2 linked regions of the Drosophila melanogaster genome follow. The protein of the gene in region 1 purifies or fractionates together with the protein of each later gene. This does not show direct contact. Each region holds a gene or a part of one and is shown on either strand. Other genes may lie near its edges.

What was found.
Region 2: the proteins of CG10802 (region 1) and Mvd purify together in Drosophila melanogaster (affinity purification with mass spectrometry, with the first as the bait; one large-scale study listed by BioGRID). This does not show direct contact.

What each region holds. Positions count from the first base shown.
Region 1 is NC_004354.4:3,480,752-3,485,247, forward strand, and holds CG10802 (uncharacterized protein), read left to right. Parts: upstream 1-2,213; 5' UTR 2,214-2,293; coding exon 2,294-2,332; intron 2,333-2,394; coding exon 2,395-3,161; intron 3,162-3,218; coding exon 3,219-3,723; 3' UTR 3,724-3,804; downstream 3,805-4,496. Other genes in the region: CG10804 (uncharacterized protein), read right to left, coding at 108-197; CG14270 (uncharacterized protein), read right to left, coding at 3,958-4,496.
Region 2 is NC_004354.4:15,746,689-15,751,184, reverse strand, and holds the start of Mvd (mevalonate diphosphate decarboxylase), read right to left. Parts: upstream 2,020-4,496; 5' UTR 1,934-2,019; coding exon 1,882-1,933; intron 1,821-1,881; coding exon 1,750-1,820; intron 1,354-1,749; coding exon 1,236-1,353; intron 1,176-1,235; coding exon 250-1,175; 3' UTR 1-249. Other genes in the region: CCT6 (chaperonin containing TCP1 subunit 6), read right to left, coding at 2,413-3,877, 4,278-4,414.

The DNA of each region.
Region 1 (4,496 bases):
GTAATCTCGCCGAAAAGATTAGTCGAAATACCCAAAGTGAATACATTTTATTAATAGGTTATTTTGTTATTAACTTCATTTTTACGCTTCCTGTCCTGTGGACTTACCCGCAATTCCAGCTGATCGATGCTCTTCTGGCTTTTGAGGATTATATCCCGGGAGCTTTGGCGTCGCAATAGCTGAGCTGTGTTGGCCATGATTGTGTTTTATTATTATTTCAATTTATTACAGGGTATTTTTAGATGTACGAGTGGGTGCTGTTGGGTGCGGGTATGTGTGTGGGTGCCTAAAAGTGCTCTAAGTCCGTGCTTCCGCTTCTCGAATTGTCCTTTGATTTCACTTTCCTCGGCGCCACCTAGTGTTGCGTTGGTGTAACTAGCAACTCATTGGACATTTTTCGTAGCATACTTTTTTGGTTGGATGTATAAATCGCGCATTATTATTATCCCCTTGCTGCGCGTTCAGTTAACTTTTAGCTTATTGTTTTTTTCTTTTCTTTTCTATGGCTTGGTGGTGCTTTTGTTAGTGCTTAATTGCAGGTGATAACGGTGCATTAGTAGTAGACGCCATCGCAGTGCCGCTGGCTGCTTTTTCTAGTGGAATACGTATTACTAATAACTGTACTTAGCATGCATGCACAGAGGAAAATGGGAATGGAAAATGAATTCAGTTAAAAAAAAATATATATATATATATATTTTGAAAAGTAATATATATAAAATCTATTTCAAAAACAAATTTAGAATTTTTAATTACTTAATCGCTGAAATGATTGTTGACAACCGTTTATAACGAAAATGTGCTATTTAATTGATTTCTTAAACATAATCAATAAAGAGAACAACAGTTCTCTGAATTTAGATACGGATATTTGAACATATGTCTATTGCCGCTTATAAACAATTTTAAATAGCTGGTTTTTTTTTTGACCGTGTGCTTTCCATCAATCAAATCATGCAAAAGGAAAAACCCACACCACAGCAGGACATGTGCGTGGTTTGCGTGTCTAGGTCCACACAATAAATCAATCAAAATGAGTCCTGCCCAACAAACCCACCGCCCACTGAACACTTTCCGCCCACTTACTAATGCAGCTTAATGGAATTCACTTTCTTTTTGGCCCTGCAATTAGTGTAGGCTGTGTTTCCCAGGGCGATGGATGTACGGGAAAATAACTTTACAACGCTGCCATGGAGACCTACAATTATTACTCTATATGAGCATGCTATTTGGGTTACTGATTTTGGGAAACTTCGACGTGCAGAGAGCATTACTTTTGTATGTGGCCTTCTGAAAGACGATTTATATTCGTTTAGACTGGCTTTTTTATTTGCTCACTGAAATCTCACTTATATAACCGAAGCAAACACTCGCGAAAAATTGAAGTCGCACTTAAACAAACAGCAAGGTAAGGAAGGGAGTCCAACAAAGGGGAGCGATGGGCGCGAGGGCTATTGTTCGATTATCCTTGGATTAACAGTTGCAGGTGGTTGCATTAAAACCTATTTAAAGGACGATTCCGTCGCTCCTTTCGCTATCCCGTGATTCTGATTGGGATAACGTAACGCTGTGTCGTAACGGGACGTTGGCAGGAAACTGTTGAGCAGCAAAAGGACGTAATAGCCGAATGGCAGGACGAAAAGGATAGCGGTTAACGGGGGAGGCGACAGCGGGAGAGCAAGGAAGCAAAAAGAAAAGAGTAGCGCAGACGCGGCACGCGGCACGCGAATCCAAAAGAGAGGGAAGATGGTAAACAAAAGAGGGAGAAACATAATGCGAAAAAAAATTCACATTTTCGACGAAATCAGCTATTTTGTATTTTACCATCTCTAAGGCCCAAAATCAAGTAACTCAATTTTAAGATATATCGAATTATTCATTTGATTGATTACGCCAATTGCAACATTCAATTCAAGTGCCGTTAGAAAAAAAAGCGTTAGTGATTTTTCAAAAAATGAACTGGTCATCAGAAAGTGTTATCGATGTTGAACTTCGTGTTAGCAGTGATTGCAATTCACATAGTGACAAAAACTAATGGAAAAAATATTCAAAACCACAAACCATACAAACTTTTAATTGGGAAATGTGTGTGTCAGTAAAATGATTTAATTGCCACAATGAAATTAATATAATGAAAGCCATACTGTGACTGCCTCAATGCGAATTTGTGTTCATCTCTGAAATGAACTAGCGGTGAACTAGCCGTCCTAATGAACACTTGCCGACATACCCTCTCATAAATTGTTTATGATTTCGATACGTGAACGGGGAATTGCGTGGATTCATAGAAACGATGGTGTTCAAGTGCCAGGAGGACAGTTTCCTGAAGGAGGTGAGCCCTCAAATGAAGCGCAAAGTACCAAATTACATAATTTGTGATATAATTTGCGGCAGTTCAAGACAAAAATCGTTAGCAGCGAGTTTGCCACCTTGGATTGGACAGATCCCAGTGGAAAGGTGGAGAAACTCAAGGGCTTCAATGTGATCTGCGAGGACACGATACTATTTCCCGAGGGCGGTGGTCAGCCCTGCGATTACGGAACCTTAGGCGGATTTCCAGTTAAGAATGTCCAGAGAAAAGGCTCTACGGCTGTACATTTTGTGGAATCCCCAACGAGTTTCGAGCAGGATGCCGAAGTCCTTCTGACACTAGACTACCAAAGAAGACTGGATCACATGCAACAGCACTCAGGACAGCACCTGATCACCGCCCTGTTCGACAGGGAGTTCAAGTACGATACCACCTCGTGGTCCCTGGGATCCACTGTCTCTTACATTCAATTAAGTACGCCTCATTTGATAAGTCGCGAGTCATTGGACCTCATCGAACGTCAGGCCAACGATCTGATTCGCGAGGGCCGTGAAGTTACGGTGCTTCTGGTGGATCCCGAGGTGGCGCAAGAGTTCCAGGATGCCAGAGCTCCCAGGGGATTGCCCAAGGATCACGAGGGTCTGGCCAGGGTGGTGCGAATCGAGGGCATTGAGAGCAACATGTGCTGCGGCACCCACGTCACGAATCTCTCTCAACTGCAGTGCATTAAGCTGCTCTACGCCGAGAAGGTGAAGGCGAATGTTCTGGTGCACTTTGTCGTCGGCGAGAGGGTGCTCGTAAAGCTTGGCGAGGTCTTTCAGCGCGAACAGCAGCTAACACAGGCTTTAAAGTGAGACTCTCAAGGATGTGGGCCAATTGTCTGTAAATAATCATCTGCATTTCACAGAGGTGGACCCGGTCAGCACTTGGAGCTTGTCCAGAAGCTACAGCAAAATGTGAAGGGCAGTCGAAAGTACTTCCAGCAGCTGCTTAAACGTTACGCCACCGCCGAAGCCGAGCGTCTCTGCGATTTGCCCAAAAAGGATCGTCCGAAATATTTCTCTCTCCATCGACGCGATGGCATCGAGGTGGACTTCATCAACACATTCTTGCGGGCGGCTCCGGAAGGAATCTTCTACTTTCTCACTGTTTCCGAGAGCGTTTTTGCTGGCAGCAGTGCCAAAGGACATCTGGTGCTGCGCGGAGATCCAGAAATTGTCGGGAAACTCGGTCCCCAATTTATGGAAATTCTCGAGGGCAAGGGAAACGGCAAAGAGGACAATTTCCAGGGAAAAATCAACAACTTGGCTAGACTGCAGGAATGCCAAGAGCTGCTGGAGGCGGAGTTTAAACCAAAGAGGATCATCGAAGCCGCTCCTGCAAATGGAGCTCAACTGGAGGCAGAGGAATGAAGTATTTTTGTAGTGTTCGAATATACAATATTTGTATGCGCTACGAAAATTCATAAAATAAATATTGCCTAGTTTTATAACAAATAGTTAGCCATATCGTAATCCGATGAGAAAGAAGTAAACACATGTTCATGTACTAAAAACATACATATATTGGTATATTCTCCCTCGATTGACTTAAGCAGCAAACACGGTCTTAAGGATAACGAAAGCGTTAAGCTTTGTGGTGTGGGATCACAGGTAGTTGACATCATAGTTGCGCATCTTCCATTTGAGTCGCCAGTATTGATTCCAAAATCCCACATCGATGATCCGTTCGTGGAAGTTGAAGACGCCCACGTTGGTATATTCACAGATGGCCGGATAGGTGCAGTCGTCCTCGTCGTATAGATCCACCCAAAGGATCGTGCAGATGCCGAGAGAAAGGAGACGCAGTTTCTTTTGATTGATCGCCCTCTCCAAGGTTAGCAGATAGTCGGCGGACACGGGATTCTGAAGTTCTACCGGCACTGTGATCATTCGATTTGTGGCACCCCTTAGCAGAGTCATAAAGGCCTCCTCGCCGGGATTCTTCAGATTGGCTTGGTACATGAACAGCATTCCCGTTCCATAGAGAAGCGCCTTTTTCGGCTTCGTGTAGGATTCTCGCACAACACCCACTGCCACCTCTGTGTAGTCCCTGACCAGGCCGTTCCAATACTGCACCCACTTCTCCACGAACGTGCCCTTGAAGCGCTCCGGCATCTGAATTCGATCGGTCAATCTCTGACGCA
Region 2 (4,496 bases), about 12 Mb from region 1:
TTTGTTCACCGGAATTCATAAATAAATAAGGTAAAAATAAATAAAGAGAATAAATTAAGTTGTTGCAATTGAGATATTCAAATTTAGTCACGTAATAATGAATAATCGTGCGCATTTTAAATGTTTATACATTGTGCCCCATTGTACATTTTGATAAATGTATTTTCGCATAAATATATTCTAAAAAATATTTCCTTTATAGAATTTCTGTGCCTTTCCCTATGCAATTCACTCTCAAAATCACTCTCATCACTTCAGCGGAAGTCCATTTATCAATAAACTATTATCAGCGCTTAATTCTTTTGGTCCTTCACCGACTTTCGTGTGGATTATATATCTGAAAGCATTTTTAGCATGAACATCTAGTGAATCCAACTTGCTGCTCTCAGCATCTTGCACTTTTGGAATGGGAAGGCCTCGCAAGTAGGTGCCACCATCCGCTAAATCATTGGGGAACACCTTTTGGATAGCGCTCAAGAGATGCGGAACGTGCTCCGCCAGGACATAGAGGCATGCATTTGGACCAGCATCGAAGGTGTACGCGGCATGATAGCTACCCATTCGTTCGTTATAATCGTGAACGAAGGACACGATACTGTGCGACACATCGTTCATGTAGACACACGGCGGATAGGTGTCCAGGGCGATGGCATGGAACTGATTCGAGTCCTTCATCGTTATCTCGGCGAATGCCTGAAAGTCATGGCTTGCGATGGCCTCCCTCAATCGGATAATCCGGTCGGGAACCACTTGATCCACGCGATGTTTGATCAACTGAGACGTCTTCACCGCCTGTTGCATGCCCCTTGTCGAGGCAGTCTTCTTGCGTGCATCGTTAACGACCAGGATGAGCACATGCATGTTGGGCCAGTGGTCGGATGGAGCTATTTGCCTCGCCACCGAATCGCTGCCATCATCCAGAGCTCCGCGATGCCACTGCACAAAACCGCCATACAGACTGCGACATGCCGATCCACTTCCTTGCCGCGCCACCGTCGTCAGCTCCTCATTCAGCGGTATATCGTAGAGTCGGGACAGGGAGTACACCAGGCAGGCGTAGCCAGCTGCACTGGATGCCAGTCCGGCGGCGGTGGGGAAATTGTTTACCGATGCGATGTGCAGCTTCCAGGTTGGCGGAACCTTCTGGGAGCCACTCGCCACAGCCAATCGATGAACTGCAAGTGCATTTTTTACATTAAAGTTCTATACTTTTATATATATAACTATAAACTCGCCTTCATTCAAACAGCGCTGCAGGCGGGAACTCTCTTCAAAAGGCACCTCCTCCCCATTCAGCCACATGCGATTCGTTTCAAAGGATTCCGATGCAGTCACTGTTGTCTTGGCGCAGAGCTTGGGAGATGGGATCAAGAAAGGTAATTGTTCAAGATTTTAAAAGTCTCGATAGATTGCTATTTCAAAAAATAAGTTAGAAATTACAGGATTTCGAACAACCCATATTCAAAAACCCATTTTTTTTAAGTTAGTAATTTCATTTTAATCTTAAGCAAATTCAGTGTCCACACAAATCGAAAGAGAGAGAATCGGTGAAAAGTGAAAATCCGTGAGATCTTCCCAAATTAAATAGAAAGTTTTCGTAATATTTACATTTGTGAGAAAATGAAAACTTCGACTACGCGCACTTTAAACTTAAACCATTATTAAAAGCGTCTAAGGTTTTTTAATTTTTTAATTACAATTTGTTGGTTTTAAAACGCAAATAAATATTTAAATATCTTTCATATTTACCTCATCGGTGCTCAGAGTCATGCTAATGGAATCATTGACGGGCAGAATTAGCTCTTCGTGCCGCTTTCCCCCTTTAAAGGAATGCATGTGCATAAGTTTATGTGCTTATAATATATGTATTAATTTACCCACAATATTTGATGAGCGCTATGTTTACGGGCGCCACACAAGTAACCGAAAACATGTTTGAAAATGTTTTTAATTCAGAAATTCACTTGTTTTCAGCTGCTTTCCAGCGAAAGCGACAACTGTTGACTGCGGTGTGACCACCCAGTGGACTCTTCAAATATACCATGTGGCCCCAAAAAATGTAGTTGTGGGTATTCCCCAATTACCGCCCATATTGAGGTTTGAGTCACGGCTAAATCGCTATTTCCATTTATTTTTAAACCAATGAAAGTTTGTAGTGAGTAAACATTAGTGTTAATAAAAATAGAAAATACATTAGCGTTAAGCATAGAGCTGTGTTTGGTTTTTGTATTTATTAGAATTGTATTTTAAATGTGAATACTTGCAGCCGCAACCATTCCGATTTCATGTGTTTCCAAATTATTTACGTGTTTAGTTTTCTTTTGGTTGTGTGTGGCTTTGAGAGACGCGGGTTGAGTAGCATGCGGTGCATTAACTTGGTTAAATTGAATGGGTCGGATGAAATGATGGGGACTAGCCCTTGAGGCTCGTCATGCCCGCACGCATCACCTCGTCGACGAGAAGCAGGTTGCTGGCAATGATCGAACAGGAGTTGAGGATCTGCTTCTTAACGATGTAGTTGTCGTAGACGCCCAGATCCACGGGCTTCATGGGCTCCCCGGTGGCCAGATCCAGGCCGACCAGTTCGGGACTCAGGCGATCCTCAACAGTCAGCTTGACGATTGTGTCCTGGGCATCGTAGCCGCTGTTCACGGCCAGCGTCTTGGGAATGACCAGCAGGGCATCGGCAAAGGCCTGCACTGCCAGGCGGGACTTGCCCTTGATGGTGTCCTTGAAGGCGACCAGCTCGTTGTACGCGCGCACCTCGAATGCTCCAGCTCCGGGCACCAGAGCCTTATCGGCAATGGTGTTGTTGATGGCACGCAGACCGTCCCTGATGGCGTCCTTGATCTGGGTGATCGTGTGCTTGTTGGGACCCTTGATCAGGATCGTGACGGACAGCGGGTTCTTGCAGTCCTCAACGAAAGTGTACTTGTTCTCGCCCAGAACATGCTCGTACACCACACCGGCGTATCCCAAGTGCTCCTCCTGCAGATCGTCAAAGGAGTTCATTGCAGTGCCACCGCAGGCCAAAGACAGACGCTCCATGTTGCGGCGCTTGGCGCGACGCAAGGCCAGGATGCCCTCCTTGGCCAGGGCGTCCAGCGAGATGGGGTCGATGCCCTTCTGGTTGATCAGGACGAAGGTTTTGTCGGTGCCATCGCACACGGAGCGCTTCAATTCGATCACCTTCTTCACACGCTGGTCGATGAATTCGCGCTCGGCGCGCACAAAGGCCTCACGCTCCTCGGCGGTCTTGTAGAAGAAGCCAGAGTTGACCTCGGCCTTCTCGTACTCCAGCGAGACATTGGCCGTAAGGATGTAGGCATTCTCCAAACGCTTCGGCATGTCCGGGTGGCGAGCACCATGGTCCATGACTAGTCCACGCACCAGCTGTGTATCGGTATCGGATTTGTGCTGCATCTCCATCAGCTCCACCATGTGGAGGTCCACGGGCTTGGTCTTATCGGCACTGGCAATGGTCAGCACGGCATTCACGCAGACGTCCGTAAGCAGATCGGCAAGGGCGGGATGCACCTTGGTCTTCAGACTTGTGTTGGCCACCTCCACCAGGTTCTTCTTGTTGATCTCCACGGGCACCTTGACCTGGTCGAGCACCTCCAATGCCTTGTCGCGTGCCTTCTCGAATCCATCGGTCATGATGCGAGGATGCAGTCCCTCGGACAGATAGATATCGGCCTGCTTCAGGAGCTCGCCAATAAGCATCACAGTGGTGGTGGTTCCATCGCCGGTGGAATCATCCTGGGCCGTGCTGGCCCTGGCAATCATAGAGGCAGTCGGATGTTGGATCTGCATTTCGTGCAGCAGGACATTGCCATCCTTGGTGATCTTGATGTCGCCGGCGCCAGAAACCAACCTGCGAAGTTTCTAGAATTAGTATGCTTGTTTCACTTTTCACGGCGCGTGAGTCAAGTCACGCCTCTTTCGATGCCACTTTCTGAATCACCCGGTGCTGGATATGCAGGTAAACACACATTTATGAATAAATTAAAGCCTCTGGGGGCATCTTTCATTTAAGATTCTTTTTGAAATTAAATAAAAACACCTAAATTCTAAGCTTTTTGCTCCAGAGTTGCAACATTCTCTTTCTTTCTTTTGCGATGACGCATGCCGCTAGTTCCAGTCTAACCTCAAACTTGCAGTTGCCGCAGCTGTGACCAAAACGTTTGTTTTTTCGCCTATAAACTAGCATTCTCACTCAAATTGCTAATGGAACGCAAAGTGAGGGATATTAGAGGCCGGTTTTAGTAACTTACATCTTAACGGTGCCCTTGGGTCCCAAATTGGTGCGCATCACATCCTGCAGTCCCTTGGCGGCACTGATATTGATGGCCAGAGCCTGGGCGGCGCGGGCAAACTCGGCCTTGGGGTTCAGCAAGCTAATCGAAGCCATCGCGTGTCGCAATTAAACAGAGATTTTCTTAGCTCGGCAAAATAAATCAATAGGAATCGGCACAAATCCAAGCACGCTTAAA